Caenorhabditis elegans: one gene and its partner. The protein of the gene in region 2 purifies or fractionates together with the protein of the main gene of each other region. This does not show direct contact. Each region holds a gene or a part of one and is shown on either strand. Other genes may lie near its edges.

Region 1 (17,827 bases), on a different chromosome or scaffold from region 2:
AGATAATTTTCGATCAGTTTCATGGCAAATTGATGTTAGTGTCAATTTCAAAACACATCAAAAATGCATATATCAAAAGTTAGGAGCTTGTAATGAAAATGTTAGGAAATATCTGAAACAGGGGTGGGGGCAAACGATTTTTTCCGGCAAATCGGCAAATCGGCAAATTGCCGGAATTGAAATTTCCGGCAAATCGGCAAACCGGCAAATTGCTGGAATTAAAAATTTCCGGCAATTTGCCGAATTTGTCGACAAATCAATTTGCCGCCCTCCCCTGATCTGAAACCCCAAAATTATGGGGTTACTTACAGCAGGTCCCATAACAAAGCTAGTTGATTCCAGAACATTCTCCATGCTAAATCAATGAATGAGCTCATGGTAATCACTGCTCATCAAAGTGGATCAGCAATGGAAGCATGCATTAACTGCCCTGGAGTTTCTAAGTTACATCAAAAAGATATCAGGGTACTACATAAGTACTTCCAATTTTTGAATGTTTGGTTGGATTCTGTCAGGGAATATTCCATGTCAGATGGGGCTCACTATGAAATTGGAGTTGACAGGTGAAATGTTTCTTTTATTTATTGCTACAATTTAAACTAATTTTTCAGAAAACTCTCTGAATTCATTCACCAGGTCAGGACAACATTGGGATCTTCCCTGGCAAATTTGAAATTGAACATGTATGAATACTCTGCTTTCAAGTTGTTTTGCATCTGGAATCTGAAATTCCACAAAACCTCCACTGCTCTGAAAATTGTTGCTCAAGAGCACTATGAAGGAGTTTGCTCCGCGCTGAGAAACTATTATGAGACACAGACAAAAATGGACGATTTTGAAATTGCAATTAGGATAGGGGATATTACTTTGCAAATTGTTACTGTATCGGTAATTTTAAGTTGGAATTTTGTGGATAAAGACAATTTTTGTTTCAGGATATCTATCACGACTTCATCAAGCTATTGCTCAATTCTGGAATATCTATTTGACGTTGTGACATTTGTTTTATATTAAAAGACGTTAAAGTTCCAAATAAACATTTGTTTCGTAGACTTTCCGTCGCCTTTTGTGTCCCCCAAATGCATTTAAATGTGTCAGACGGGAATAGATTGTGATCCATTGGAGAATGCCCTTGTTTCGACGGAATAAATTTTCAGATATTGATTTCAATTTTAGAGGAAAATATACGAAAACTGAAATATTTTGTGTCATCTTTCCGAAATTCACGTTTTTAGGCTCAAATGAACAAGTTCGGCGACACGGAAAAAGGTTTTTTCCGACAAACTGCAAGAATTGAAAATTTCCGGCAAATCGGCAAACCGGCAAGAGACTGATTTACCGAATTTGCCGGAAAAAACGGCAATTTCCGTACATGATAATTATCTTGCGTTTTCAAAAAAAGTGATTTGAAAGAAATTAATTTCCAGCCGCTGCGACATCAACAAATCGGTCAAATTTCCAATTTTAATCATTTTTAGGTTATTTTTAGAGCTGCGATACCTTTTTTTTTTGAGCAGTTTCCAAGAAATTTCATTATGAAATTCTGTGTTTTCAGGCAATTTTGGGTCTAATAAAGCAATAAAAAATTTGACTACAAAACCTTCAAATTGCATTTATTCGTGTATTTTGAAGGTAATTTATTTCAAATTACTAAATTACAGGTTATTTAATATTTTGGTGCATTTTCAGACGATTTCAACAATTTTCAACAAAAGGCTTGTAGAACTTCTTACATTCAAACTTGTAGGATCGGCAGCTTCTTGCTCAAGTCTTGTTGAAGCTGCAGGTAAATGCCGGAAAGCTTTCCCAGAATCCACGAGCAAAGGTCATGGAGCTAAAAAGTTTGATTCAATATTCTATATAAAAACATTTTCCAAATGAAACTTTAGCCAAGAAAAATGAGACTTTTCAGAATTCGTCAAAAAGCACCTGAATTTCGCGTAGACCTCGTGATAAGAAGTGATCGGAAAAGCTGAGCAGAGTGGGGAAAGGGGAGTGGTGAAAGATGAGAGATTTTCTGAAAAAAAAACTTCAATTTTGAAGAAACTTTGTAAAATAAATTAATTTTAATGTTTTCCATTTAAAAAATAACATAAAAATCTACGATTGCTACTGAGAATTTCAAAAAATTTGAGTAAAATTTGCGTTTTTCAGTTAAAACAGTACTTTTACACATGCAAACTGTTAGCCAAAAATTATATCATTTTGTTGAAAAAATATCAAAACCCTTTTCCAAGCTTCACAAGATATAGTAATGTATTTTGAAAGCTTCATTATATGTGTTTCTTCATTTCTTTTTGTATCGATGCCCGTCTGATCTTTTTGAAATAGAAAAAATAAAAATTGAAAATTTTCTGAAACGATATCTCTCCATATTCCATATGAGTAATAATGCCTGCCTGCCTGCCTACAAGATACGGTGTTCAAATCAAAGTTAGAAACAACACACATCGGAGGTCAAAAAGCCACCTTTTTTTCTAAAATTTCCCAGACAATTTGTCCTAAATTTTCGGGTAATCTTCAATTTTAATCTCTCCCGAAAAGTTGCTCGCACACATTTCTCTTTTTATCGCCACTCAATCAATGTATTTTGTAGCTAAATTTTAAAATTTTGAATTAAAAAGCCTGACGGAGAATTAGATTCCAGAAAAATTATCACAAAAAGGTTCAAAGTTACAAGGTTCATTTGGAGAATTTTTTCAAATAAGAAATTGAGTTAATATCCCGATATTCCGGGTCTAAAACGCTTCTGTCAAACGGGAAAAGAAGATAATCGTAGAGGTAGATTTTGTGCAGGTATTCACGAACAATCGGATCTTCTCGAACTTGCTTTTCAGCTTCCAGACGTTTGGTCCATTTGTGAGTAGAGTGAGCAGTCTCGGTAGCTGCAAAATTTTTAGAAAATTTTTTAAAAAATTATTAGAATAAATTATTAGAATAAAGTATTAGAATAAAAAAGAACCTACTCAAAATGTCTTTATAAATTTGCTCAACTAAAGTGTCACGGACGCCTTGCTTTCTTAAGATATCTGCTAATTTAGCAGCCGACGAAATCCGATCTTTGAGGTCCGAGTCCATAGGCAGCAGCTCCCAGTTCTCAACTCCCTCGTTGAATTTACAGTTCCTAGAAAAAATAAAATCTTAAAATAGTGCTCAATCCAAAACTCATTATTTGGTTTTTCTGAATTTAAGACTTAGCCTAAGCTTGTGGCTGAACACAAACCTTAGACTTAGCCCAAGCCTAAACCTTGGCCTAAGCCTAAGCCTAAGCCTAAGCCTAAGCCTAAGCCTAAGCCTAAGCCTAAGCCTAAGCCTAAGCCTAAGCCTAAGCCTAAGCCAAAGCCTAAGCCGTAAACATCGCCGGAGTATTGGATTGAGTACTTTTTAAAGAAACTTTACAGAACAATAATCTGGTCGAAAAATTTCTACTGATATACTTAGCCGTGCCACAATAAGATCTCACTCACCAAGTCGTTGGAGCAGCATGTGCCTCAACATACTCAATTCCCGCAGCTTTAGTCTCATTATTCTGAATCTCGACGAATGACTCGTAGGTTTTCTTCGCGATACACCGCATATCGGTTTCACAGTCGAAACACCGTTTTTCACTTAAAATTATCAGTTTGAACTTTGACTATTTCAGAATTTGCAACTAACACGACACATTTGTTCAAGTACATCGACACAAAACGGCGAAACGGATCCCGCACGAACACAAATCGCACTGCGTCCTTATCGTTCTTCAATGAATCGGATGGAGTCACAAAGTTTGTCTCACTAGTGCATTTCCTGGAAAAAAAAGGTGAGGCATTGAGTTCCTGCACACTACCTACCTAGTACTTGTCTCCCAAGTATTCGTGAAATTGTTTTTATCCTGTAGGTACTGCGTTTCGTTGTACAAGAGGCACATCATGTTGAGCGTCAGCTGAGACATAGACTTCCGGATTTCGCAGGCAATAAGCTTGTTGTCCGGAGCCGTCTGAATTATAGTTTAAGCAAGATTGCGTGCCTGGCCCCTGCTTAAGGTTAAGTTAAGGCTTAGGCTTTGGCTTGGGCTTAGGCTTACGCTTAGGCTTAGGCTTAGGTTTAGGCTTAGGCACATGCTTAGGTTTAGGCTTAGGCTTAGGCTTTGGCTTGGGTTTAGGCTTAGGCTTAGGCTTAGGCTGAATCTTAAGCTGAGGCTTAAACATGGGCATTGGGATTTCCGTGGGATTTCCAAAAAGCTTCCACATTGTTTGTTAGACCCTAAAAACCCCAAAAAACTATTTCTAATCTCTCAGAACCCCTTTTCAGGCCATTTACTTGACATAGAAATCAGCGAAAAAATTCACTGGAGCACTTTCAAATGGCGATTTCAAGGGTTCAGAGTTGAGTTCCGCCGCTGAAATTTTTGTGGTGATCTAGTCTAAACATAAGCTTTCAAATGAAATACGTATCGATTTAAAGTCCGGGACTAGATTGACCTCCTTTCCTTGTTAGGCTTAAGCTTAAGCTTAGAAAAACCAAATAAATAACACAGGTCTTATGCGAAATTTGAAAACTTTCCTAAATTGATTTGAAACGATTTTCATTTTGGCTCTCAAGCTTTAACGGAATGCTCAAAAAGTAGGCAGTAGGCAGGCTGAACAACAACTCACGAAAAAACTGGGTGCATAGCTGATAAACGGCTTTATGAAACCATCGGGGTTGAACCCTAAAACTTTTAGTATTTGGTTGAAAATAATCAATAACAAACCTTTTAGGCTTTTAGGCTTTAAGACAAAATATAAAATTATCAGAACAGAAACTATCATCAATATTTTCATTGTTGATTTTTGCATTTTCTTCCGGAAAAAAAGAAGCAAATGATCTTGGAAACCTTTGTTTATAAGGGCACAGAATATCCCAAACCGGATTTTCGAGCGACAGGACTTGAATTTGATTTTAATCTGGACACCTTTTTGAAAGAAGAGAAACGGAGATCTAAAATGAATTTGAACGTTTTCCTTGTCTGTAGAGAAACTTTAGAGTGACTTCACAGCTGAGCTTTAAAAGTAGAGAGCTTTAATGGGAATTATTGGCCTCACTGACATGCTTCTTTGTTTTAGAAACAATCAAGATAAAGATGATTTCATCTCAAAATAAGTATGAACAAATAAATCCGTTGAAGATCCTTTATTCTACGATAGAAAGTATTTTCATTCAGGTAATTGTTTTCTAGAAAGAAAGCCTGGCGAGATTTATACCTATTTTCAGAGAAACTATAATTTTGCTGGAATATGAAATTTCGGATTTTCAAAAATTTGGGGCAAACTCATTTGCCTGCTAGGTAGGCACAAAGTGCCTTAACTTATCAAAACATGGTGCATTGACTTTTCTCCTTTAGATAGGGAGCAGGGCTGTGCGGCAACCGACATCCGAGTTGCCGGTTGCCGAAATTTTTTCGGAATCGTCAGCTTCGGCAATTGCCGGTTGCCGGAAATTTTGGGTTCGGCAACTTCGACAATTGCCGAACTTTTTTCCGCAACTTCGGCATGCTAATATTTCGCCGTAAACGAGAAAACGACCATTATTTTTTGCCAAAACGCTCAAAAATATAATTTTAAAAAAACAACTTTAAAACTTGGTTGCCGGTTGCCGAAAAGTTGCCGAAATTTCGGCAATCGAAAGTTGCCGGTTGCCGAAAATTTCTGGGTTCGGCAAATTCGGCAATTGCCGGTTGCCGAAAATCCCGGTTGCCGCACAGCCCTGTTAGGGAGTAGAGTTTTTGGCGCTTTTTTTTCGCTGTAATACAAAACTGATTCCAAAAAAAAGAATTTCATAGAAAAAGTTCTCGAATAATTTTATTTTTTTCTTGGCGGGTAAAAAATTTCAACAAAAGCTTATCTTGCGCAAGAAAAATACACACGAGTTCCGAATTCCCATCCCTTTCAGCTAAATTATCAATTTTTCAAACTAGGATACGAACCCACACAAAGAAGTGCCTTTGAGATATTTCACCTAAGAAACGGAGATCATTTCCGCGATTAAAGTAAATTCCGACACGAAGTCCGTCGGATTGAATCGAAAACGTGGTTGTTCGCCAAATTGAAACTTTGATAAAACTATTTGAATAATTCCGAACCATCACTATTTACAGACAAAAAACTTCAAACCTCTAGAAATCAAGTTCCGGAAGGAATTTATCAATATTTTTTAGGTACATATGTTTTTACTTTATTCAAACAATACAAGTTATTCAAAACCGCTGTGTGTGCGCAACGTAGTGCAAAAGGTAGTTTTTTGGAAGCGGCCGACACGTTCGGGGTTCCGCGTTTGGGGTGACGCCGTTGCGGCGACTTCATTGGAACTAGGGCTAAACAACCGGACGTCCGGTCGTCCGAACCGGACGCACATGCTTCCGGTTGGGGGTAGCTATCCACGACGGCCGACAATTTCCGAGTTTCGCCTCTCACTATAAAATTGCTGATTAAGTATAGTGGGTGGCGAAACTCGGAAATTGTCGGCCGCCGTGGAAACCTACCCCAAAACCGGACGCAGTGCGTCCGGTGGTGTCAAAATCGGACGACCGGACGCCGATTTGTACAGCCCTAATTGGAACCCTACTTCTCAACTCAATTCATTCAAATTAGCTGGAAAAACTTTACACTCCTGAAAATAAAGACTAACAATAAATTGACAAATGTGAATTTTTATTTTTATTTCAAAAACAAAACTAAAATACTTCTCTAGCAAAAATATGAGATACATAGATTAGACGATGATACGTGTACCCGTTGTGAACAATCCTTCAGTCGTGTTGTATACCCAATTGGTGACATTATCCATCGCAGCTTTGCAGATTCCACCAGTGCTATGGCATACGTCGGATCTGAAAACTTTGCCGAGCTTGTACAAATTTATGACCTAACTATTTCATTCGATAGCCCATGGTTTGAAACGATTTTTCATGAATTTTAAGCTGCGAGGCTCTAAAACTAAGCTCACGGCGAACTTTCAGAAAATACTTCAGCGCTTCTATTTTCCGCAACTTTAGAGTTTGGTAGATCAAAACCTATTAGAAACTATTTCCACTCCTGTGACCGTGAATTTTTTATTAACAAATCCTTACTTGACTTTGGCTATGCACTTATTCAAAGTCTCAATTGGCTTGTACGAAAATGCAGGTGGTGAATTTTCGAAAATCTTGTTCATCTGAAAATCTCTTTTTTTTTTCTATTGATATTTTTTCCTCTGACTCCCAACGCCTACCGTATCATGCATATTCCTAATATGCCCAGCTGTGTCATTTGGGAAAAATCGATAAGACTTTCGAACAATTTTCGCTCGGATTTGCTTCACATTGAACCGAAAGTGTAGAACAGTGCCATTTGCCATTTTTGTGTAGGTGGACTTATGAAGGAACTTTCCTGGGGAATGGGTTTCACAGATATCAATAAGAGAGGTGTTGAAGATGTACTGAAATGTGTAGGATTGAAGTTTTAAATTTTCCTAGACCTAGGCCTAAGCCTCAGCTTAAGCCTAAACCTAAGCCTAAGCTTTAGCCTGAACTTATGCCTAAGCCTAAACCCCGCAGCAAATATTACCTTGGGCGGTGCGAAAATATCGGTGAACGTCAGTGACCTCACTCCTGAGTAGTTATTCGTATAAATATTAGGCGTCAGTGCAACATGTGTATTTTCAAACAACAATGCTCCAATATCCTTCCCGGTCATTTCCTTCATCGCATGATCAAGTACAGTACCCTTATCGGGTACCATAACCTCATCGAAATCCGCAACAATACCCAAAGACGTCTTAATTTCCAGAGAACATATTTGAAGAGCCATATGAGTTGCAATAATAAACACACTTTCATCAACTTTTGGGTACATCGGGGAAATATTTGAAGAGAGCTCGCCAATGTTGGGCCAGGGTCGTAGCTCAATAAGCCCCAGTTTTTCATAGTAGTCCAGAACTTTTTTGGTGTCTTCTGTGGATGAATGATAAAAAACTATAAAACGAGTTGCTCCCTGAGCCCGCCAGGCTTCAATGTATAAGATTACGTTTTGCCATTGAGAATAGTAATAGACGATTTGTAGGCATACAGTGAGGCCTCGCTCGTATTTTTTCCCGATTTCCTCAATGGCAAATTCTATTTCTCGGTCTTCCCATCGTATGGTAGCCTGAAAAAATAAATAGGTCAACTATCTGAGGGTCATAGGCTTTATCCTTATCCCTAACCTTTGCCTAAGCCTAAGCCTAAGCCTGAGCCTAAGCCTAATAGTAAGGCCATTTGTTTAAGGTTTCCAAACACGTTTAACTCAAAAACTATGATAGCTAGAAAAATATTTTCAACAAACAAAATGTTGTCCATTGCATTTTCTACATTTTCATCAGTGTCAATATAATATAACTATATTCCGGAAAAAATTAGAGCAGCTAAAATGACATAACTTTTGAGAAATTTTAGACAAATTTGAGGAACTGGAAATTGGAATTATGTATATAGAAAGAGTCCCATTATTGATGGCAATAAAAGATAATTTCAACGTTTTTTTAAAACAAAATACAGCCCAATAAGGAATAATTTTGGCCATGCACATGAACTACTTCATCGATTTTTCGGCTGCCGGCACCGGCACAAAATTAGTGGGAGTTGCTCAATTAATTACATACCTTCTCAATTATTCCATTGTCTGGAAGCACCCCATAAAAAGTGTGTGGAACGTAGAAACAATGCGTGGCAGGACCATAAACCGGTGGACAATTTTCATTGAAGAACCCAAAAGGATCTCCCAAGAGTTTTACTTCATTCGGAATGGGACTTCCTCTGTTGTACACATCAATTAGTAGATAGGTATTCGGTTTAACGCATGGGTTTAGACTGAACAGCCGGAGACGGGGAGGGTTGGTTCTGGAAGTTTATTGATTTTTTCACAAACATTTGGAAAATGATATTAATGTTAACCTACCTGTAATCAATATATGCCTTGTGGTAGAAGGTTATTGGAAACGAAGAGTTGATTGGTTGGCCTCTCGAACTTAGAAATGTTATCACTGGATGAAAAACCAGTAAGTACAAAAATATAGGAATTAGAGAATAGAAAAGGTATTTGTATTTGAATCGAGTCATTTCGAAATTGAAACAGCAAGCCGCTCGCGAGAATGCTTTTATATTCAGACATTCAAATATAGGCATTCTTATCTCATCTTTTACCGTGAAGTCTCCGAAGAACGGATAATCCGAATTTTGTCGGGTGCGATGGCATCGGTGTAATCGAGTTTCTGAGTGAGAAAGTCAATTTTTTGATTCTGCCACTTTCAATTGGGCTGAAATTACTTAGAACGAGTTTTTATGTACTGGGTCATAAAGTATTGCTATATTCAGATTTAAACATCAAACTACATTTGCGTGTAAACAAGAAATTTTGTTAAAGATGGAGTAGCGCCAGTGGGAAAATTTTTAAAAACTAATGGTCCCAAAATGAAAAAACTTTTTTGAAAACTTTTTATTTACTGTCAAAAAGTGGCAATTACTCAGTTTTTGCCACTCATAAATTTGGAAGCCGACCAAAAAAATTTTTTCGACATTTTTTATGTTTTAATTTTGTTAAAATTATTTGTATTAAAACATTGTAGGGGTCGAAACATGCGACATTTCTTTAAATTTATTCAAAAGCTTGTATTTTTCAAAATTTTGGCAATTTTCCAAAACTTTGACCGGAAATTATGAAAAATCTAAAACTTTTTGGAGTGTTTTATTATGATATTCGGTTGTTTTGGATCATTATAAAGATTTAGACAAAATCCCCAGGTACTTATGGGTTTCGTTCCCCCAAAATGATTTTTAATTATTTAACACTACCTTTTTAATTTTAATCCACACGTGAATGTTTATTTTAATACTGTTTTCATTTTTACAAGGCTTAGAAAATCATTTCCCTAAGCCTGAGAATGAAAAAAAGTTCACGTCTCAATCAGAAAATATGGAAAAATCATTTCCCCAATTGCGCTACTCCACCTTTAATACAAATATTTTAAACAAAATTAAAACGAAAAAAGGCGAAAGTTTTTTTTTTTGGTTCCAAAATACTTCCAAAATTATGAGTGGCAAAAACTGATAGTGAGTAACTGTCACTTTTTGCCAGTAAATAAAAAATTTTCAAAAAATTTTTAAAAAGTTTTATCATGATGTTTGATCATTTTTGGACCAAGGGTGTGGTTTTTAACAATTTCCCCACTGGCGAGAATAATTGAAAAGTTCACAGCTGTGACGTCACAAAAACTCAAATATATTTTTTCCCCATTTTTGTGTGCAATGAAGCTATGGGACAACCTGACACCGCATGCCGATTGCAGGAAATTTTGAAAATCGCTCCTCATGCTCTATTCTAGATTAATACAGGACAGATTACACAGATTTATTTGTAGAGCTGAAGACATTAATTCCCTTTGTTCCACCGTGGAGATTTGCAAATTCAAGTCTTTTTGATTTTCATCTCACTTTCCCGAATTATTCCCCCCATATCCAGCTTCTGATCTAGCACAAGAAGACTCAGCTTTACGACCGGCTTTTGTAGATATCTGCCGACACAATCGAGGTGCGTGGCAGCATTTTGTGTGGATTCGGTGGGAAATGTATTCTGATTCTGGAAATGGGGAAATGAATTTTGGGAAAGGAATGTGGCAGGTTATTATTTAGGCCTGTGGCAGTATAGGCCACTACAAAAAATTCAGAGCACTGACCAACTTTCAAATCATATGGATCTTGTCTGAAAAGAGGACTGTAACCAATAGTCCGATCCTTGAAGCTCAGGCTTAGGCCGGCTTAGGATTAGGCTTAGGCTTTGGATTTGGCTTTGGCTTTGGCGTTGGCTTTGGCTTAGTATTAGGCTTAGGCTTAGACTTAGGTGTAGGCTTAGGCTCAGGCTTGGGCTTAAGCTTAGGCTCTGTACTCCCCAGTTAAGGTTCGTCAATTCGTGTACAACGGTTTAACTAAACTTTTTGGGTTTTTTACAAAGGACACGGCATTTCAGGAGCTTCCGAGCGGGTGCTTTCTTGAATCATAGCATTCGTATTTCTGAAAATATGGTGAAAAGACAAAGCTATCCATCGGAACACCAAAAATCCACTGGATTCCGGTTTCCCCTCGCCTCGGATTCTCTATCCGTAGATCTATGTACCGATGATATCTCTGCACCTTGCTGGCTTAAAAGCGCTTTCTGGACCGAAATTTTACATCACTCCGCTGTCATGCTTCCGTACTCCCGATTTGATAAGCTTCGGCTAACCGAACGACTTCCAATGCGTAGTCTACCCCGATTGATTTTGTTCGGCGCTTTGGTATTTGTGGTATTTATGCTCTATTCCAACTATAATGACAAGAAGCCGCTAAAGGAGGAAAATGAACTTAATGTGTTCAAATGGGCTCCACCGCCGGTTAGACATGACACTGCGAGAAATTTAACGTCGTACAAGTCCTCTCCGCTTTTTGATGCTTATTATAACTGCGTCTACCCGAAGTTGAGACCGCTCAAAGGGAAATATGTTGAGGTAAGTTCCTTTCAAGAAAACTAGGTTAGAATCGTCCAAAAACCTTCAAAAATTTCAGTTCTTCGACGAGTTCTCCAGTCTAACTGAGGAATGCGACAATCTCAAAGCCTACAATGCGCTGGACATCCGTCACGTGTACAACAAAGACGAGACAAAGTACATAGCTCTTCCTCGGAATCAGAGCCAACTTCTCACAATGGTCACACTTGGTATCGGACACGATATTATGGGAGAGATCAGTTTGAAGGAGCTTCATCCGAATACTCAATTCTATGGAGCCGATCCATCTCCCGAAGTGAATAAGATCCTCTATGAAGATAAGCTGGGAGGAAAGTACTACCGATACGCAGTTAGTGGAGAGACCGGAGTGCAGAAATCAAGTATTTATACAGGTATTTTTTGTGTGCTTTTTTGTTAATTAGCTTGAGCACCTGTAAATTAGCTTGAGTACTAGCAATTTCCGGCAAAAAAACTTTTGCCGATTTGCCGGAAATTTCAATTCCGGCAATTTTCGGGTTTGCCGATTTGTCTGTAGAAACATTCATAGGATGCGTACAATTTTGCCGACTAAAATTGAAATTCTGAATTTTCCAAAAAAAAATGTGCAAAACCACAATTGACGGAAAATTTTCACCAATTGCCGTTTTTTTCTGCAAATTTGGCAATTTGCCGATTTGCCAAGTTGCCGGTTTACCGATTTGCCGGATATCATTTTGCCGGAATTTTTTAGAGGGATTTCTTACAAGACAGAAGGACTTAAAACTGTGACCTTTTGAAAAAATTGAAATTCTTAAATTTCCAAAAAAAAGTGAAAAACCACAATTTGCCGAAAATGTACGGCAATCTGCCGTTTTTCCGCAAATTCGCAAATTTGCACTTTCTCGGTTTGCCGATTTGCCGGAAATTTTCAATTCCGACAATTTTCCAATTTGCCGGAAAATTTGAATTCCGGCAATTTTCCAATTTGCCGGAAATTTTCAATTCCGGCGATTTGCCGAATTTCCGGAAATTTTCAATTCCGGCAATTTGCTGATTTCCGGAAATTTCAATTCCGGCAATTTTCCAACTTGCCGAAAATGTTCAATTCCGGCGATTTGCCGAATTTCCGGTAATTTAAATTCCGGCAATTTGCCGATTTACCGTTTCTCGGCAAATTCTACATATCAGCACTTTGCCGGTTTACCAATTTGCCGAAAATTTTCAATTCCGGCAATTCGCCGAATTGCCGGAAAAAAATCGTTATAACTAGACAAAAATAGAAAACCAAAATATCAAAAAAATAAAATATTTATCTAGCTTTTTTCAGAGCAAAAAGAAGAGCTGGCTTACAGAACCGAGACCACCGAGCACATCGCAGTTGACTACTTCTTCAAGTACATCCTCAACAAAAGTCTGATCGATATTCTATGGATTGATGTCGAGCAGAATGAGTTTCCGATAATGGAGCAACTTCATAGAAATGGAGCAATTGACAATGCAGGTGTCACAATTTGTCAGATGAATATTGAAGTTCACAGTGGAGTATTCGAGCAACCAATTGGCGAAAAGCAGATGTTTCATGATTTTGTGTGGAGAGTTCTTGAAGATAGAAGATATATTATGTTGAGGTCTTACTATGCTGATCCATTTATTCGAACTTTTATGATTAATGTTGGAGATGAGGAGTGTAGGAATCCATTGTTAGAGTGATTTAGTTTTTGTTAATAATTATTTTCTGGGTAGCTGTTGAATTCTGTATAATGGCATTTTTCTTTTTTTTCTCAAAATACATTTTTTTAAATTATGATATTTCTCGCAGTACATTTTAAATTTTCAGATAATTTTCAGATTTTTCAACCGGAATTTTTCATTTCCGGCAATTTGCCGGTTTGCCGGTTTGTCGAAATTTTTAATTGCAGCATATTGCCGGTTTGCCCATTCACCGAAAATTTTCAATTCCGGCAATCGTGCCGATCTACCGGAAATTTTTTTTTCGGCGTTATTCCGACATGCCGGAAATTATAATTCTGGCAACTTGCCTGTTTGTCGAAAATTTCAATTCCTGCAATTTGTCGAATTTCCGGAAATTCCCATTTCCGGCAACTTGCCGATTTGCCGAAAATTTCAATTCCGGCAATTTGCCGATTTGCAGGGAAATTTCCAATTCTGGCAATTTGCCAATTTGCCGGAAATTTTCAATTCCGGCAGTTTGCCGATTTGCCGGTTTGTCGAAATTTTCAATTCCGGCAATTTTGCCGATCTGCCGGAAAAATTTATTTCGGCATTATTCCGGAATGCCAGAATTTTTCAATTCCGGCAACTTGCCGGTTTCCCGATTTGCCGGAAAATTTAATTCCGGCAACTTTCCGGCTTGTAGGAAATTTCAATTCCGGCAATTTGCCGATTGGCCGATTTGCTGGTAAAATTTGTTTCCGCCCACGCCTGGTGCAAGTCTCTGAAAATATACAGAAAAGACTTTGAAAATATACAGAAACTCGGCTCAATAAATTTGGAAATATGTACCTAAATCGGCAAAAAAGCGTCCGTGAAATTTGAGATGAGTTCCGCTCAAAATTTGTTCTTTTTTCCAGAACTTTGAAATTTTTTGAAAAATTTTAAACCACGAAATTCGGTTTTAGGGGCCATCTTATGTAATCACCGAACTTTAATTTTCAATTGAAGATTCTGCTTGAAACATTTTTTTTCTATGAACAATACAAATTCAAAAATGCTTGTTCTAATTATCGGAACATCCGTTTCTCCCTACGAATAAAGATCAGATAAGAACGCAGAAATACGGCTTTCAATGAAACAAGAAGCATGAAAAATGAAGTTTTCCTTCGATTTCTTGCCTGTTTGCTTGTATTTCACTATATTCTACGTTTACCCAAGGTTTCAGAATCAGAGCTTATTAAAAAACCAAATAAATGCATCATTTCCCATCACATTTTATCACAAGGTTTATGTGGATTACAGGTTTTTTTAAAAAAAATTTTCTGACAATTTTTTGGTAACTTAATTCCAGAACCAGTCCACCCCGTCTAAGAATATTTAGCTTGAACCCTTGTATCAAGGCAAGTAACTACTTACTAGTACATGTATATTATAACGGAACGATTACAAAATTGAAGCTTAACGGATATTCCTTTGGATTTTACGAAGGAAATTGCCCACCGGTATATGGTCCCGCAAGGAATTGCTTCTATGTTCCGCACCATTTTTATGGGGTGCTTCCAGAAAATGGAGTAGTTCAGAAGGTAATCCCCGAGACCAGATCCCAGGTCAGAGCCCATATCCCAGATCCGAGACGCCAGACCCCAGACCCCAACCATTTTTTATACTTAATTTTCAGGTATCCATCCAGTTGGGCCACCGAGAAGCTTTCCTCTCCGAAATCGTTGAAATTGGAAAATCATATGAAAAAGGCCTCACTGTATGCCTACAAATCGTCTATTACTATTCTCAATGGCAAAACGTAATCTTATACATCGAAGCTTGGCGGGCTCAGGGAGCAACTCGATTTATAGTCTACTTTCATTCAGCCACACAAGACACCAAAAAAGTTCTGGACTACTATGAAAAGCTTGGGCTCATTGAGCTACGACCTTGGCCAAATGTAGGAGCCCTCTCTTCATATATTGCACCTTATCACCCGAAGATAGATGACAGTGTATTCATTATCGCATCCCATATTGCTCTGCAAGTTTGCTCTCTAGAAATTCGGACGGAGCTGGGCATTGTCGCCGATTTCGATGAGGTCATGGTTCCAGGGGATGGTAGTGTGCTGGAATATGCGGAGCTGGTGATGGCTGGGAAGAATATTGGAGCATTGTTATTTGAGAACACTCATGTCGGATTGGAGCCAAATATTTATACGAATGACTTTTCTGGAATGAAGACTCTAACGTTCATTAATATTTTTGCGCCACCCAAGGTAAGCATTTTTTTTATTTCCGACAATTTGCCGGTTTGCCGGTTTGTCGAAATTTTTAATTCCATCATATTGCCGGTTTGCCCAGTCACCGAAAATTTTCAATTCCGGCAAATTTGCCGATCTGGCGGAAAATTTCTTTCGGCATTAATCCGACATGCCGGAAATTTTAAGTAGTTGTAGGGGTGGCAAGAGTGCGACCTAGCGACCTGCGACCTAGCGACCTGGGTCGCTTTGTGACCTTCACTTGAGTTGTTAAAATCTGTATAACTCGAAAACTACATAAGATTGCAGAATATGTATACTAACAAATTGCTACAAATCATTTATTTTACATTGTTTTCGATTTCTTATCCATAAGACACCTTGTCGAAAAAAGTTAGAACAGCCGACATCCGCCGGTTTTGCTGCTGACTAAAATTGTTTCAACTTGAAAAATATGGTACTTATGGGTTTCGTTCCCCCCGTCATGTTTTAACTTTCTAAATTTCAATTTTTTTTTTGTAGAATTGTAGAATTTGTAGAAATCAATGCTTTTGTTGTGTATTGAGCGAGAGACAAGGAGAGAAGTCGTTTATTACAATAGGTGTAAGAAGTAATGAATAATAAAGAGAGGTCGCTTACGCGATAAGTTCATGATGACCCAAAGGTCACGTCTGTATAAAGCTCAGGTTTACGTTCCGTCCACAACAGCTTTGTTCTGTGCTTTTTTCTACGTTTTTAATTCGAAAAGTGAAAAATTAAATTTTAGAAACAACGCATAAACTTGTAAAATCTTAATAGAGAAAATGTTAGTGGAATATACATATTCTGCAATCTTTAGTTTTCGAGTTATACGGATTTTAACAACTCAAGTGAATCAAAACCGAAAGAGAACAAAATGTCGGTAATTCAGGTCGCAATGCGACCTAGGTCGCTAGGTCGCAGATCGACCTATGTCGACCTATAGCCACCCCTAAGTAATAGTACCTAGCCTAAACCTAAGCTTAAGTCTAAGCCTAAGCCTAATTCTTAGCCAACAATATTTGAAATTATTTTTTAAAAATTGAAAAAAAAAACAATTTTCTGGATCCAGAATTTTAATTCAAATTGTATTTTATAGTATCATTTTTTGGTGTAATAAATCTACTTACAAGGCAAAACCCAGTCCATAAGCTTATAATTTGACGGAATTTCGTAAATTATAGAGTCCCAACACGAAGTCCTATAAGTTGTTTTTTTTCAAATTGCAATTTTTTTTTGCAATTTTTCTTAAAATGTATGCCTTTTTCATTACTTCACGGTTGAACAGCTCTGCATAACTGGAAGATTTACGAAATTTCGAATTGTTAGGGTCCCACCACGAAAATTTTGGTATTTTTGTTGAAACTTAATTTTGACTGTAAGAAAAGGAGCCTAAGCCTAAGCCTAAGCCTAAGCCTATGTCCAAGCCTAAGCCTAAGAATGAGCATAAAACCTAAGCCTAAGCCTAGCTTAAGCCTAAGTCTAAGCCTTATCCCAAGCATAAGCCTAAGCCCAAGCCTAAACCTAAGCCTCAGCCTAAGCCTAAGCCTAAGCATAATAAGCCTAAATAGCGTCAGTAGCGAGCTTACGCTTGCCACTGACGCCAAGCTTAAGTCTAAGCCTAAGCCTAAGCCTAAGCCTAAGCTTAAGCCTAAACCTAAGCCAAATCCTGGATCTAAGCGTAAGCCTAGGCTTAATCCTAATCCAAAGACTGAACCTAAGCCTAATCCTAAATAGCGTCAGTGGCGAGCTAACGCTCGCCTCTGACGCCAAGCTTAAGTTTAAAGCTTTTGCAGACTTTTGGCATTTCTGAAACAGATAAAATCCTACTTCCAGTACATCTTCAACACATCTCTCATAGATATCTGCGAAACTCACTCACCCGGAAAATTCCTGCACAACTCAACAACTACACTGTTTTCCAATGGAACAGTACTACATTTTCGATTTAATATTAAGGAAATTAAAGCTAACGTTGTGGAAAAACCATATAGATTTTTCCCGAACAGCACAGAAGGTCACATTTGGAATATGCATGATACGGTTCGGACTGTCTGGAACTTCCTTTTTTTTCATGTTTAGCCAGTTTTTCAGATGCACAAAATCTTCGGAGCCACCCCGCCAATATTTTCCTACACTCCCATTCTAACCATGAACTTATGCATAGCAAAAGCAACGTAACTTTTTTTGAACTACCAGGAACTTCATTAAATGTCTTTTTTTCCAGACCAAATGTGTGTCATAGTACCGGTAACCTGTGCAAAGCTGAAATGGATAATGTCACTAGTTGGGTTTACGATAAGACTCAGGGATTATTTATAACTGGTGAATAACTAAAGCCCCTTTGAATTCAAAAATAAATTAGTTTCTATTTCTAGTTTGTTTCAAAAACAACCCGAA
Region 2 (15,605 bases):
TTTCAGACGAATGACGTGGGGATTCACTCCTGGAGGGACTACGTTTTCGGGATTTTTTCGACTTTTTTCCTCTCTCTTCATCGTCCATTCTGTCTTCCTTTGAATGCTTCTTTTTCTTTTTCTTCTCTTTTTCGCGGATTTCTCCTTCCGACTCCGAGTTATTCTGAAATTAAACGATTTTAATAGGAAATTATTAATCTATTTAGAAAAAACACCTACATCGCTTCTCTTATTCTTCTTCTTTTTATCCTTTTTCTTTTTCTTCTTTTCCAAAATTTCGCTTCCAGCAGTAGTTCCACTTGTTCCGTTTTTATAATGATTAAATGCAGTCTCTCGTTCATCGTCATTCTCCATGGCAAGATAAGCCTTATCTTTTTCAATCTTTGGCTTGATTACAGTCCATTCGGAATCTTTATCGACATTATGCTCTTTCAGTAGATTTCTGAATTCGCTCTCCAGTCTTCTTTTCCTTCTCAGCGACTCTTTTTCCTCATCCTTCGCCTTGCTTTCAGCTTTTTCAATCAGTGAGTTGTAACAAAGTTTCATGTTTCCATGATCAACTTTTCCTCCTTTCTCATGAGAAACAACCCAATCAGAAAATTCCCTGTACTCGGTTGTTGCTATCACCTGACACCCTTTCTCTGTTAAAATTTCTTTAATGAGACGGCGGTCTTCGGTATATTGCTCCTTGAGATCTTCAACAAAAAACTTGAAAAGATCAAGTGGAGACGATCCAGGTTGGAATAGCATAAGTTCAAATCGAGTGTCTGTTGAGATAATAGGAAACAGGGAAGTCCAAAGTGACATGGAAGTGAGTTCTCCCCTCTTATGCAAGCTCTCCAGCAGTAAACGATATTCTTCTCGTACTTTTCGTTGTTGCCTGCGGAGTCGTTTCTCTTCTTGCTCTTTCTCCTCGTCGTGCTCTTTCTCGGCTTGTTTTATATGATCTTCGAAAACTGTGAGCGCATCTTCCTTGTCCATAACTGAAAAACAATTAAATTCGAATTTTATAAGAGTCAAAATATTTTACAATGCAGATCCTTTCTCTCCGCGAACTGAGGATTTTCATATAAAATTCGTTGTGCTTGAGCCCATGTAGTTTTGTAAGTTATTTGCTCCATACTCTGAAGAACGTGACTGAAAGCTGCAATGTCTCGTTTTCTGTCCTCTTCTTTTTTCTCCTTGTCCCTACGAGCCACGAAATCCTGGAAAAATTAACAATAACAATTCTCAAAAGCCTTAGAAACATACAATACAATCTCTAAAAATCTCTTTTCTATCCTCATCATTAACAGCAATCCAAAGTGGCTCCTTGCTGAATATATCGCTGGCTTTTTGGTATTTGAGGCTTTCTTTCATTTTTGGATGCTCTTGCAAGAATTTTTCCAAATCTTCTTTAGACTTTTTGATTGCCAGTCGTTTTTCATCCTGAAATTTAATAAATAATTATAAAAACTTTGCAAGCCGTGACTTTGCAGTCGTAAATATTCACAGAGAATAATCGCCCGCCGAAAACCGCGCCGCCGCCTTGCAAGGGGCGGAGTCGCCCCTCCCACCTTTCCGTGCGCAAATTCTTACTGCGTTTTCCGTTTTTAAAGTTAATTTCTTCTCTCCTTCTGCAAATTTCCAATCATTTTCAGGTCAAAATGGCTTCATTTATCACTCGTGCGGAACGTTCTGGTAATATTTTTTCGCGAGTCACTGGACTCATCCGTGCTGGTCAACTGAACTGGGCAGATCGTCCTTTGTGGTAAATTTTTACTCATTCAAGCGGATATCGTGATATAATTATCATTTCAGGTATGATGTGTACGTTTCATCTCCACCATTAACACCGCCAGATTGGAATGTAAAATTAGCAAAGTACGACGAACCAATTCGCTCTATTTTCTACGAGGAAGATGTTCTCAGAGCGTAAGTTTTGGTTATTTCAGGCGCTGACTATTTAAATTGTTTTCTCTATTCAGAAAGTTCTACAAGACATACAGAAGTACGGCTGGTATTCAAGTGGATAGCTCAAGAACAAGCGTCTCTCAGCAGTTCATCAACGAATATAAACTAGTCAAATCAGAAAATGCAGAGGCAACAGATGATCAGTTGTTCGAGATGACACAAAAACGTCTCAACGAGAATGGAATCGTTTTGAAATAAATGCTAAGTTATAGTTTGTAGTTGTTCATAAATTTGTTTTTCGTTTCAACTTACTCTTTCTTCTTTTCCTCTTTGAACTTTCCAAGCGTTAAATAATTGTTTCTTTTCTGAGACTTTGTTCAGAATTCTGAAACGAGGATCATTCTGGATCCATTTTACAGCCTGATCCCAATTGCAATTCGTTGTTATCTTTCCGTCATTATATTTGTCACGGAGCAGTTCACGGAATCGTTCTGACTGCCGTTTCTTCAATTCAACTTCATCGTTCACAGATTCTTCTTCTTTCTTTTCAGACGGAAGAGGTACATTTGGCATTGATGCGAGGGTAGCCTTCATGGCTTTGTCTAGATCGGATTCCGCCTTCTTTTGCTGAACAGCCGCTGCCAATGCGACAGTGTCCACAGTTGCAGCCTTTGCTGCTGGCTTCTGTTCTCCTTCTGAAATAAATAATTCAAATTGAAAGATTCTCTAGATAAAATCTTACTTGTAATTTCCTCTCCATCTGGTTTAACCCATTGCGTTTTCTTTGTAAGGGTATTATAATAATATGGTTTTCCGTCATCACTCATGAATTCTTTCCATTGACCTTGTTGTGGCTGTCCGCTAGTACTTCTCTGAAATCAGACTTCAAGAGCGCTGTAAACTATATTTTTCACTTACCTCGAGTGGAGTTTTTAAGACGTCTGGTTTTATCCATGACGTTTGTTTCGTTACACGATTATGATAATAAGGTGTACCCTTTTCATTCGTATGCACACTCCAATCAGATTCGACAGATGGGGATGAGTGGGATTCGTCTATGCCCATTCCAGGAGGTACCAGCATTGGTGAAGGCCTCGTCGGAGCTGCAACGTGCGGAGCAACTACAGAGTGGGTGGGCATTTGGAGGAGCGGAACTTGAGCGATAGATCCAACTGGTGGCATGCCAACTGAAAATGTTTGCATTAATATTAAATTATTTTATTAATTAATTGGCCAATTTTACAAATTTATGAAAAACTTGCATCTTTGGTTCAGGAGAACTTGTTGAATGTTAGCAGCCGCTACTAAATTGGGATTAAGAAATGAAAATCCATTGGGAAGCATTCTGAAAATTACTTGATTAAAAAGTGAAAACGAAAGAAACACCAAGGAAAATGTAGCATAAACAAAATTTGTGGAAAAATCGAAGAAAACTGAAACGCTGCGTGCCCCCTTTCGATGCAATCTATCGTCGGAAAATACGGTGGGGCGCACTTGCTTGCACCAGAAAAGCGCAATGAACGAGGATCGCGCCAACGTGATGATTGACGCATTCCTGGAGCAAAATTTTTACAATACACTTTGTTCCCAATTTCTCGTTTCCTATTGCATCAGATGTTTTTAATTTTTGATTCAGTGTCGGAAAATTAGAAAATGAGTATAAAAATAGGTGTTAATGATATTGCTTTCTGATATTTGTTCTCTGCTGCGCTCGTAAGTGCGATAGCATAGGATTTTTGTATATAATATCCTTTCCTTCTCCAAATCTGTAGTTTTTTTTAGTTCTTCTGCAACTTTCTCGGTACAAGTCTTCATGGCTGTTCCATTATCTATCCATTCGTTAATTGTGCTGTGCTCGCACAATTTTTCGAATTCCATGATTTGCGTCATAAATCCTTCATCGTTTAATATTTCGCTAATATAATTATGAAGATGAACTGATATTTAAATATTTTACAGATGACTTTGGGTTCCGAAACGAAAACTGATGTCGAAGTGCCGATCATCAATGGGAAGCACGAAATTCCTCAAGAGGAAAACGACTCAGGTCACTCGTCGATAAACACTCCAGACTCATCAGAACCAGGTGAGAAAAATCTAAAATTAGTTTTTTTTTATCCTTGAGTTTCAGATAAGCAAGTCGACAAGTTCGTGAAGATCACTATTCAACCATCTTGTGGAGACGCTTTCGAGCTACATGTCAGTTTTTTCTTTCCTGATTTTAGAATCCAGACATTTTTTCAGCTCAGCGACAATGAGTTGGTTCAAGAACTATACCAGACGCTGCTAGACCGTGAAGCTACTTGTCATAGAACTTGTTTCTCCTTGTATTTGAACGGAACAGCCGTAGACAACTACTCTGAAGTCCGTGCTATTCCGGGATTCGTTGATGGGTGCACCTTGAACGTGGTCGATGAGCCATACACCATTCGTGATGCTCGTCTCCACCTCCGCCAAGTCCGTGAATTACTCAAATTTGGACTTACTGAAGATCAGCACGAGCCCCCGTGTACCAATGATGCTCAATCATATTTGACAACAATCAATTTGCAACCAGAAGAAAAGAAAGAACCAAAACCTTCCGATATTCTTCCACCAGATCATGCTCTTCCAGGATGCAAAGAACGCTCCCTTGCTCATCTGCTTGTTCCACAACCAAAAGAGCTCATTGCCCTTAAAGATATCGCATTCTCTCCGTACAACCCTCCACCAGGACCTCGAAAGCTCAGAGGAGATGTCTTGTACATCGACATCACAACAGTTGAAAATCGCATCTACCATGTCACCTGTTGCACTAGAGGTTTTTATGTGAACAACTCACAAGATGGACGGTTCGATCCGACAGTATCGAATTCCAATAAGACTGTCTACCAAAGCGTCATTGAACTACTTCAAAATGTCAGTCCAGGATTCAAGAAAGTATATCCTCAAATTTTGAAGCGGCGTCAAGAAAAGACACTCGTTGAGCGACTTCCAACCAGTTACCCAGTTTCTTCATGGGTTGGAAATCCATTGAAAACTGATGGGTACATGAGTGACTCATTGAGAGCCATTGAATTGACAGAGCCGTTCCGGGTTGGATTTGAAGATCATATGCCAGGACTCCTTCGTGATTGGAATGAAGAGCTTCAGACTACTTTCGAGATGACCCGTAAATCCATTTCTGAGCGAGTAATCCGTGATCGAAGTTATTACAAAATTCATGCTGATTACGTAAATGCTGCTGCGAGAGGTGTTCAATCTATTCTTGATGGAAATATATTGGCTATAAACCCAGGAGAGGACAAGAAAACTCATATGTACATTTGGAACAATATCTTCTTCAGTCTCGGATTTGACGTCAGAGATCATTATAAGGAGCTTGGAGGAGACGCTGCTGCTTTTGCTGCTACATCGACCGATCTTCAAGGAGTGCGGGCATTTGCAACTCTTGATGATCCAAAACTCAACACTCTAGGAATGGCAATTTTCGATTATCGAGGATATCGTGTGACTGCACAATCCATCATACCAGGAATTTTGGAACGCGAGCAAGAACAATCTGTTGTGTATGGATCGATAGACTTTGGAAAAACTGTCGTCTCTGATGAAAAGTATCACGAACTGCTCGAGGATGCTGCTCACAAACTGAAAATGCTGCCTCACACCGTTATCAGCGAGAAAGACGGAGTTAAGGAAGAGTTGAAGCTTTATACAAGCTACGAAGCTAAGGGAATAATTGGAAACGATGGTAGAAAATACGTTTTGGACCTTCTTCGTTCAATGCCTCCAGATGTTCATTATCTCGATGACGCAGAGGTCTCTGAGGCCGCTAAAACACTGGGATATCCACGAAAATTCCCGCACAAGCTTTCGGCTCTCCGCCGTGAACTAATTGATGCGTTCTGTGAGTCTAGATTGGTCACTTTCATCCAGTTAACTGCAAAGAAGATCCGTGATCTGATTACCGAGTCAAAAGAGAAAAATGATGAAACTTTGATTAAGCAAGCAGGTAATCATTTCGTACAAAACTTTTCTTAATCAAATTATTTTTATTTTTCAGCCGAAGCAGAAACTGAACTATCACTACTCTTTATGGCCATCAGCGAAGATAAGGAGTTTGAAGCCAAAAACAAAGTCGTTCAAGATGCTATCAAGGAAGCTTGTGCAGTTGTTCATTCTATTTATGAAGATCGCTATGTTATGAAGTTCAATCCGGATTGTTTCTCATCAAATGTCAAACATGCACCAACAGAGAACCTTGAACGACAACGCCGTGTTGTTGTGGATGCCGCAGATTTCCTCCTTACCCAGAAGATTCCAGAGCTTGTTCAGAACTTGAAAGATTGCGTTGTGCAACCAATTGATGGAGATAATCTTGCTGACATTATGCACATCAATGGTATCAATATTCGCTATTTAGGAGAAATTGGAAAACGTCTTGAAAACAGCGTCTCATTTGCTCGTCCACTTGTTCTTTCGGATATCGTTGCTAGATCTGCAAAGCATGTCATCCGCAAGATCAATGTTCAAATTACTGCTGATCAACTCTCCGCAAGTACATCTCACATTCTCAACTGCCTATTCTCTGTAGTTTTGGATCCAAGCCCTATTGCTGCGAACGTTGCGAAGAAAGCCAATAAGAAGAACGGCAAGAAACGAGTTACATCTGCCTGGTCTTCGTTAACCACATCAGCACTTTGGAATAGTATCCGTGAAGATTCTGCCAGCTATTATGGATACCCGATTGAGGCCGACTCCCTTGAAAAGTTCACCGAATTGCATGATATCCAAAAAACTGCTCTTTTCCGCCGCATTTGCAAAGTCATGGGAGTTCAGCTCGTAGCAAGAGATTACCAATTGGATAACTCTACTGCAAAGAAAACATCAATTTTCGTTGAAGATGACATCATCAACTTCTTCCCAATCATCAAGCATCATGAACCATTCACTGCTGATGCTAAGAAAATGTTCATTCGTGGACAACAAGCGATGTCTATTGGTGCCTCCCGAGAAGCTTACGAGTGTATTGGCGAATCACTAAATCTCATGACACTTGTCTATGGTGTAATGCATCCAGATATGCCACAATGTTTGAGAGCTCTTGCAAGATTGTCCCACGTTCTTGGAGAAACTGGAGATGTAAGTGTCTTATCATTAGTTATTTTGGTTTTTAAAACAATTTAGCCGCATGAACACTGAATACATTGGAAATTGTAATATATAAAACCAATGCCGTATAATTTTCAGGCTTTGAACAACCAGCATAAGGCAGCGGTCATGAGCGAACGGTTGATTGGATTGGATGCAGGAAATACCATTATTGAATATGTAAGTACTATTAATAAAAAATCATCTGCATTAAATATGTTTTATCATCTTTGTTTTTCGATAAACTTGAAGAACAATGAGAACAAAATAAAGGGAATTTTTCTGCAATGACATTGAACATTTTTCAGATCAATTTGGCCCATTTCGCATTTGGAGCACTTCTCATTCCTGGATCTCTTCGTCCATTGTACCGTGCGAGATATCTCATGAATCTCGTATTTGGAGAGAAACATCCTGTAATGGCTCAAATTGATGCCAACATTGGACTCATTTTGTTCACTGTTCAAGAGTTCGACACAGCTTTGAAGTACTTGCAATCGGCTGATGCTATCACAAAAACTATTGGAGAACCGAGAAAGCTGAAGACTGGATTGATTTCCAATTTGATTGCCCGAACACATGCGGCTCGTGGAGATTTCCGAGCTGCTCTAGTTGCTGAAAAGGAAACATTCGCTATTTATTCCGAACTCTATGGACCAAATCACCCAAGAGTCAACGAATCGAGTGAATATCTTCGCACGCTTACTCAACAAGCTGTTACATTCCAAAAGAAAATGTTGAAACTTGACAATAGTACAAACATTACTGAATTGTTCCAGGTAATATTAAATTTTCACAATAGCAAAAAAATCGCAATATTTTTATAGGCTCAACCTCCAACAGTTACCTCTCTATTTGATACCTTAAACATCATCAACGGAATACTGATCATTGGTGTTCCTGGATTGTCTTCTCTCGGAAAACAGCAAAATGGGACGACTGAAGAGAGCAAGACTACAGATGTTGCTGCTCAGCTTGACAATGAGACTCTCGATTAGAATTGATTAGATATCACCCAATTTTTTGGAAGTTGTTTATCAAATTTCAAAAAATTTAGAATTACTTGTTCGTTGATTATTTTAGTTTTTAATAGTGTATAGCATATAGATCAGTTTTTGTTTCTTTTTGTTTTGTTTTTTTAGGTGTAGATATCAGTTTAGTAAATAACTTTTTTTTTGTTAGAAAACCGTGACCGCATTTTCGTTGCTTTTTTGAAATAATTATATGAGATAATTGCACCGTTTCTTTCTCTGATAACCAAAAACATTTGCTCAATTCCAAAAATCAGCCTGAAATTTTCAAATTTGCTCAGGAGCATTTCCCTCATTTCCCACAACTTAATCAATCACATGTTCCCGTTTTCATTGTCTTCTCCATCTATCTGTAACCCATTTCCTTCATACATGTTATGACTGTCGTTCTGACACGAGTGTCCATCGAAAAACTAATCATTTAAAAAATATACATCTCTGATAATCCGAGTACACTCCATCTTTTGTTACACTGATGCGTTTGTTCTCCTCGTTACCTGTTTTTTTGCCTTAGGATTCAAAGCCTTGTAGTTTAGTATGAATTTTCGTTTTTTTTTAAATTTTCCAATCAACTGTTATAAAATGTTTATTGTTTTGTTCTTTCTCCAATAATAAAATCTGAAAATCTATTTTTTGTTTCAGTTCTAAAATTTTCAGAAAACTTAAAGTTTCATTCTTTAAATATTTTGAAATATCTTGTGAACAAAAATATGAATTTGTTAATCAAGAGTATCGCTTTTTCCAATTTGTCAGAAAAAAAATATATAACTTCCATTATTTAAGAAAAAAAGTTGCAAAAACTGAAAATTGTGTCCATTTTATTTTTTTAGCAGTAGAAAATTATATTTTCTTGTTTTTGCATTTTTTTTGTTAAATGTTTTAAACCATAAAAAATTTTATCCGATTTTGTTCATGTTGATGAACAAAAAAATTATAAAAATGTAATTGTCCTCTAAAAATGAGAGACTTTAAAGCTTTTTCTCTCTTATAATTAAATTTGTTTTTCATAGAATGGCGAGTGATTGGAGACGACAATCAACGAGTAGAGGAATTCCGAATGAGGGACAAAATGATGAAAAAGGAAAACCGCTCATTGTGAGAGAATATTTAAAGTAAAAAAAACAAAATTATGAATTTCAGGGAAGATCATTTCTGCTCGAAATTGAAAATCGTATTCTACGAACAAACGTGGCAGAAGGATTACATATTTCTGGTGCTACAATAATTGATTCATTTGATGATGCTTCCCCACAATGTGTCATCTCCGATCACCCGATGGCTCAAAAATTAGAAAAAGCAAAGAAAGATGACCCTCTTTTTAAAAATGAAAAGGTACACTTTTACTGGTAAAATTAAAAATAAATAAATTAATCAAATTTCAGATGCTCAAAATAATGCCCGCACTTCTTCGACAAGCAGTGAACAGAAATATTAAAGTAAGAAAATCGCCAAAAAACCCAAAAAAATTAAAAATTTGGTTGACAAATTTGAAAATTACTGTTCTTTCAGAAATTAACAGCAAAAAATTATATAAATTAAGTGGGCAAACAAATTTCTCAAAAAAATGGAATAAGACAAGTTGTTTGATGAGACATATTGGAAATAACGCTTTTTTTCAAAAAAAAAAAATCATAAAATAAAATGTTCAATTTTTAGCAACTAAAAAACTAAATTTTGAAATTTTTCGACTTCCCCCTAATTCTTTAAATTTTCCAATATTTTCAGGTCAGAACACCGGAAAGATTTTTAAATCAAATGAATACATGGCTGGATCGCCAAGGAAAAACGACATCAGCAACTACATCAAATAGTACAATTCGTGGAAAACCATCATTCGGCCGGGAGAATAGTGCAAAAATTGAACGAACGACTCCGAGACTTGTGCCAAGAATGCCACGTGTCAGCAGTGATCAGACGTCGAGTCGGCCGAAGGAAGAACGATGTTTTCTAAGAATTGATGTTCCTGGAAAAAGACCAGAAATTCGGAATGTCTCGAAAGAATCATTTTCAATTGTTTATTCTGGAAGAGACACAGGATTTTCAATTTTTAAAGCAGCAGAATCGTCACTTGTGGAAAGAAGGTATTTAGTAAATTGTTTTTCTTCTATTTATATGTAAATGCAATTATTTCAGGCAACGAGAATACGATTCATTTTTGAAGGGAAAATATGAGCCATCTAAGAAGACTTTCAAATTTGATGAACGAGATAATTATTGTCAGTTCTGCCAAAAAACGATTCTTGGAGACAGGAAAGATGTAAGAATAGAGAAATTCGAAATTTTGAGGAGATTTTATAAAATCGAAATATTCAGAAATTCAGAAATTCCACAAGAGAGAAAAAAAACAAAAAATCGTGAATTTATAGAAAATTGAACATTTAAAACTTGATTTTTCAGCACGAAAGAACCGATGAACATCGCAATAAGGCTCGAACTCAAGGAATTACTCAAACAATGGAAAGAATTGTTTTGAATGCTCGATTACGAGCCGAACGTCAGGAAGCGGCTTTGAAAAGAAATCAAAGAAAATCACGAGAAAGTGTGATGTTTGTAGAAAAGTCGAAACGAGCAAATGTCGAGTACGAATATGGAGAAAATGAAATTAAAGCGAATTGGCTTATGCTGAAAGCAAATACAGTGGAAAAGACGACTGAGAAAACATCGAGTAAGATTATTTTATTTTCTTGAAGAAAAATTGCTACAATTGATTCAATTAGGGTAATAATGGCAAACTCCGTGATAACAAATATGATCAAAATCTTTACGAGGTTTGCATTGTGAAGGAACTTTACATCCTTTTCCAGTACTTTGTGCCATTATTTCATTGATAAAGAGCATTGAAATAAGAACAACCAACATCTGAAATTGATTTAATAATAAGAACTATTTTTTATAGATTAAGGCTAATGTTTTTTAACTCAAAATTACCAGAAAAAAATCGGATTTCATAACGAAACTTGAAAAATTTCTCAAAAATTTTTATTGCGTTCAAAATTTCGAAAATATGTTAATTTTAGCTAAAATTCCGGATTTTCTTTTTTTGTGTTACAATGGCCGGGAATTTTTTTATACATTTATTATTGTTCTATTTGCACATTTTTCGATTTTTAGTTCCTTTCGGTATAATTAAATCCGAAAGGTATTCAAATTTAAAAATTCTAAATTAACAAAAATATTGTGAGACATTTAAAAAAAATTAAATTAAAAAAAAAACCTAAATTCCGGCTGCTGCGACACGGAAAGATTGTCCAAAATTGATGTTTTAGCTAGAATTAGGACGTTTTTTTTTTCGAAATTTTAAATTAACCTTTTGGGGTCACCTTTAGGTAAAATAATTTTTTTAAACTTACGAAAGATACAATTCTCATTATTGCCAAGTTGAAGTTTTCAAGTGAATAATTTGAAAATATTGAACATTTCCTCTGAATTTATACCATCCATAATCACATGTTTTATGTCTTAGGCGCACTGAAAAACATGAAATAAATCATAAGGAACTTCCTCATTCTCTCAGTCAACCTTTAGTTAATTGAATAAATTGGCCTTAATTCGAGTGTTTGTTTTGATATATATGTTTTGAATAACTAAAAGTAAAAGATACAAAGATCACAAATTCCAGTTCTTTCTCCACGTCGACGACAGAAAAGAATGCGGTCACTTTCAAGTCAAGGAGACATTTAATTTGTCATATAACATTCTCATTATTACTATTCGATCTCTTAAAATGTGTATTATCTCACTACAATATGTAACTGTATATTTGTATCAATTCTAGTACTGGTTATTCGTTTATTTCTCCCCGATTTTATAATACTTATTTATTTTACGGTTATTTAACTTTCAGCCCAATTTTTTGTTTCATTTGCATTTTAACTTCGGTTTTAACAGGTGCATAAATATTTATTTCTGAATTTATATAGGCTCGATGCATTCAGATAGAAATTTGATTAGGCAATTAGTGAACATGGAGAGATGAGATCGTAAAATTGTAGAAATAAATAAATACGGGGGATATGGGACAACGGGGCAAGGATAGGCGACAATTCTACAAAAATTACTTATTGCGCCATGTTTTTCCAACATTATCTAAAAAAAACAATAATTTCTGCTAAAAAGTTACCAAAAAGGGCCTGAAAATTCTCGATTGCGGATTACCGAATTAACGAGTTTTGTTTTCCGGCAATTGGCAACTTTTAGGCCATTTTTTATCAGTTTTTAGATGAAATTATTGTAAATTCCAGATAAATCATGTGATTCTCTATAGTGCGACACAAATTTTTGATGAAAATGTTGGAACAACATGGTGCAATAGGTAATTTTGTAGAATCGCCACCCATTCCTGGTCACTGGGAGCAAGGGTGTCGTCGAAAAATTTTCGATTTTCCGAAAACAAAATGTTCAAAAAACTAAACAGACATTAAAAAATTATTCGAAAAAATGAAAATTTTAGATTTTTCGACACCCAGAAGACAATTAATCAGACATGGAATGACTGGAAGTCAAATGATGAAGTCCTTCTTCTTCAGGAAGTGATTGACGCTTCCAACGTGGATTCAATACAAGAAGGAGAACACAGACAGTGTATAGGAAAGTGAAGACTCCGACGAATGAAGATGTTGCTTGTTGAGCACACATTTGACCTTCTTTAGTCCAGCAACTGAAAAAATAATTTATTTAAATATATTAACTTTTAGATCTTGGAATTACTTGTTTTTTGGTGAAAAAATAACGCTTTTTTCAAAAAAAGTGAGCGTTTTCGTAGAAAAAGTTTTTTGTTTCAGATTAAGCTGAATCATTATAACTGAATTCCAACCCTGAATCCAAAAAAAAGTCAATTTTTCCAGCGATTTTTTTGATATAAATTTTCTTCTTTTTTCTCGAAATTTTACGATTTTTGCGCTAAAAAATACGGTATCCGGTCTCGACACGACAATTGTTCGTCAAATGCAAAAATTTATGTGACTTCTTGTTGCGGAATTTACATCGATTTTTCACAGTAAAATCACATTAAGTTTGCCGGTTTGCCGTGAAAAAAAATTCTGCAGGGTTTGAGATTACAGTACTCTTTAAAGGCCCACGGCCTTTTCGTATTAATAAATTTGTCGTGTCGAGACCGGCAAAAAAATCGAAAATTTTAGCGTCTCCGTAATAATAACATAAATCTTACGTATGCTTCCATGCTGCTCTTTCCGAAATTCCCATGGCTACAGTAATCGAGACAAAAATGAAGATGAGCACACCGAACATTTGATGGAATGGCATAACGAGTTGACGAATCGGAATTGGCATTCCCGGGAAGAAGTAGGTGATGAATCCGACGATGTATTGTGCAAAGTAGAGAATGACAACGGATAGGCCAATCCATGAATGTAAAGAAACCAAATTGACAATTGGTGCTGGATTTCCAGATGGATCCTTGTGAAGGTTATGGTAGTCAAAAACTGCTTTAAGTGCCATAAGCATGAAGACAAGAACACACGAATGAAGAATAACATGAAGAGTTTTACTGAATTTCTTTCTTTCATTACGGAATACACGATAAACGAGAAGAGCCTCTCCAAAAAGGAAAACCATTCCCATAATCATAAAAGTCGGATGATAGTTGAATTCCTTATCAGGATCCTCATTCCATGCGAATCCACTTTCAAACTTGCTCATCCAAATGGTAACCAGAAGAACGGCGAGCCCTCCGAATACTTGAGACATAACGAGAATTATGTTGAAGAGTTTCACACTTTGGTCCTCCCGAAGGATAACAAACCCCGGATCGAAGAGGAGCGACATGTCTCCTGAAATTAATTTTCAATTTTTAAAATTTTTCTTGAGTATTTATGTACACGAAGTTTTACGCATGATTTTAAGATTAAAAATAATATAATTGGGTCAAAACTGAGATTATTCAAAGATCACAATTATTGCCAATAACATTCAAAACGGGTAAAGCCAATTTTGATTATCACGAGGTGGCAACTCTATCCCGAAGGCTTCGGCCGAAGCAATATGAACGAATGAGAGAAGAAATGAACACGAACGAGAGACTCCTAACCGTCTGTGTCTCCCGAATCTGTCAAGAGAGTCGCGCGCCTAAAATCAATTCTTTGTTGTTTTTGTGTTTTTGACAGGAACATGAAATCCGAAACAATACAATTTTAAAGTAAAGAAAATAAAAGGGCATTAAAAACTTTTCTTTATCTAAAGGGAAATTATCTTTACAAGTTCTAATATGCCAAGATATCATGGTAAAACCTTTCAAAACAATTTTTTAATTTTTGACAAAAAGTGGCCAAGTTAATAATTTTGTAAGTCGACCAAAAATTTCAAAATTTTCCCGAAATGTGGGATTTTTGAATAATTTCGAGGATTACTGTAGAACCCCTTTAAACTTTAATTACATAAAATTGAAACTCAATTAAAAAATAAATAAAATTGTAACAATTAATTTGCGTTTCAATCAGCTCGTAATCAAACATTCTACGGGTTCGAATCTCATTTTTTGAAAATGTGGCAATTTACCAAAACTTTGAAAAAAAATGTTTTTTTTGGGTTGTGCTCGTTACTTTTACTCGCTCAGTGTTGTGCTCATTACCCAAATGAGAGTTTTTGGAACCAAAACAAAGATACTTGAAATCAGAAAATTCAGCTATACGAATTTGAAATTTCTAAATTTAGATTTAGGCTCACAATTTCAATTAAATAAGAAAGTGATATTTAGGTTTCTATGAACTGTTCAAACAAGTTTTCTATTTTTTTTGAGAAATAAAACTTATCAAAAATTGTAAGAAACTATTATAGCTCACTTTTCAGCAAATTATATGTAACGTGGAGCGAGATGCTCAATGAGCAAGAGCCACATTTAAAAACGTCAGTCAAATGCCTGAAAGAGTGAGAGAAACCGACGAAAAGAGGCAGAAGTGTAGAAGAGAAAAAGAGAAAAAGAGGAAGGGAAACCGAAATGGGATATGTCATTGAAGGGCCAAAAAGAAGGATGAGAATGAGTAGAAGAAGAGCACAAACAGAGTGAGTGAAGAGGATTAATGGATTATAAAAAAATAAATTAAGAAATTTATGAAACTTTTTGAAAATTAAAAAATTGAAAATTTTTTAAGTGGTATTTAATTAATCTTAATTAAGAATCCGCCCCATATCTAAGTGCACTAATACAAATTCAGAATTTCAAGAAGATGACATTACATAGAAACCCATATCGAAATTTAGAGAATAGGCAAGGAAAATGTTCTGCCGAACAAATTGTGAATAGAAGGGCTCTTCACACGAATAACGAGCCTCTCCGTCTCTCACACTTTAATTTTCGTATCTTCAATATTTTAGACCACACGACACCACTCAAACCACTTTCCAAAAACGCAATTATAAATGGCTCTTCTCTTGCTCACAGTGTCACTTTCAGTCGACGACGACATAATTCAATAACGGCTCTTTTTCTGAACAAATAAATAATTAGGAAACAACTTACCGCGGTGGAAATTCTTATTTACTGAAGATTTCATTTACAAACCTTTACTACGATAACATCACGAGTCTAAATGGAAA

What was found.
Region 1: the proteins of mrps-23 (region 2) and bah-1 fractionate together in Caenorhabditis elegans (co-fractionation; one large-scale study listed by BioGRID). This does not show direct contact.

What each region holds. Positions count from the first base shown.
Region 1 is NC_003279.8:11,456,440-11,474,266, reverse strand, and holds bah-1 (Glycosyltransferase family 92 protein), read right to left. Parts: upstream 9,126-17,827; 5' UTR 9,095-9,125; coding exon 8,934-9,094; intron 8,876-8,933; coding exon 8,638-8,875; intron 8,145-8,637; coding exon 7,566-8,144; intron 7,438-7,565; coding exon 7,231-7,437; intron 7,174-7,230; coding exon 7,091-7,173; intron 6,851-7,090; coding exon 6,733-6,850; 3' UTR 6,655-6,732; downstream 1-6,654. Other genes in the region: nhr-113 (Nuclear Hormone Receptor family), read left to right, coding at 343-563, 612-888, 936-989; ZK1025.8 (sulfotransferase family protein), read right to left, coding at 2,683-2,885, 2,967-3,124, 3,468-3,608, 3,658-3,789, 3,834-3,979, 4,638-4,693, 4,736-4,805; ZK1025.3 (Methyltransferase FkbM domain-containing protein), read left to right, coding at 11,215-11,514, 11,573-11,906, 12,821-13,203; gtnt-53 (Glycosyltransferase family 92 protein), read left to right, coding at 14,321-14,469, 14,519-14,750, 14,846-15,427, 17,264-17,470, 17,522-17,604, 17,655-17,760.
Region 2 is NC_003281.10:9,509,708-9,525,312, reverse strand, and holds mrps-23 (Small ribosomal subunit protein mS23), read left to right. Parts: upstream 1-1,640; 5' UTR 1,641-1,646; coding exon 1,647-1,750; intron 1,751-1,800; coding exon 1,801-1,914; intron 1,915-1,967; coding exon 1,968-2,151; 3' UTR 2,152-2,192; downstream 2,193-15,605. Other genes in the region: prp-40 (WW domain-containing protein ZK1098.1), read right to left, coding at 1-163, 220-983, 1,031-1,205, 1,252-1,428, 2,206-2,588, 2,636-2,765, 2,812-3,080, 3,156-3,237; clu-1 (Clustered mitochondria protein homolog), read left to right, coding at 3,853-3,979, 4,025-4,092, 4,138-5,884, 5,936-7,014, 7,123-7,203, 7,332-7,802, 7,851-8,021; F55H2.8 (FIP (Fungus-Induced Protein) Related), read right to left, coding at 10,764-10,913, 11,405-11,422; F55H2.7 (uncharacterized protein), read left to right, coding at 9,066-9,149, 9,195-9,386, 9,437-9,490, 9,780-10,135, 10,188-10,311, 10,452-10,719, 11,674-11,735; F55H2.5 (Putative transmembrane ascorbate-dependent reductase CYB561 homolog), read right to left, coding at 12,528-12,711, 13,222-13,838.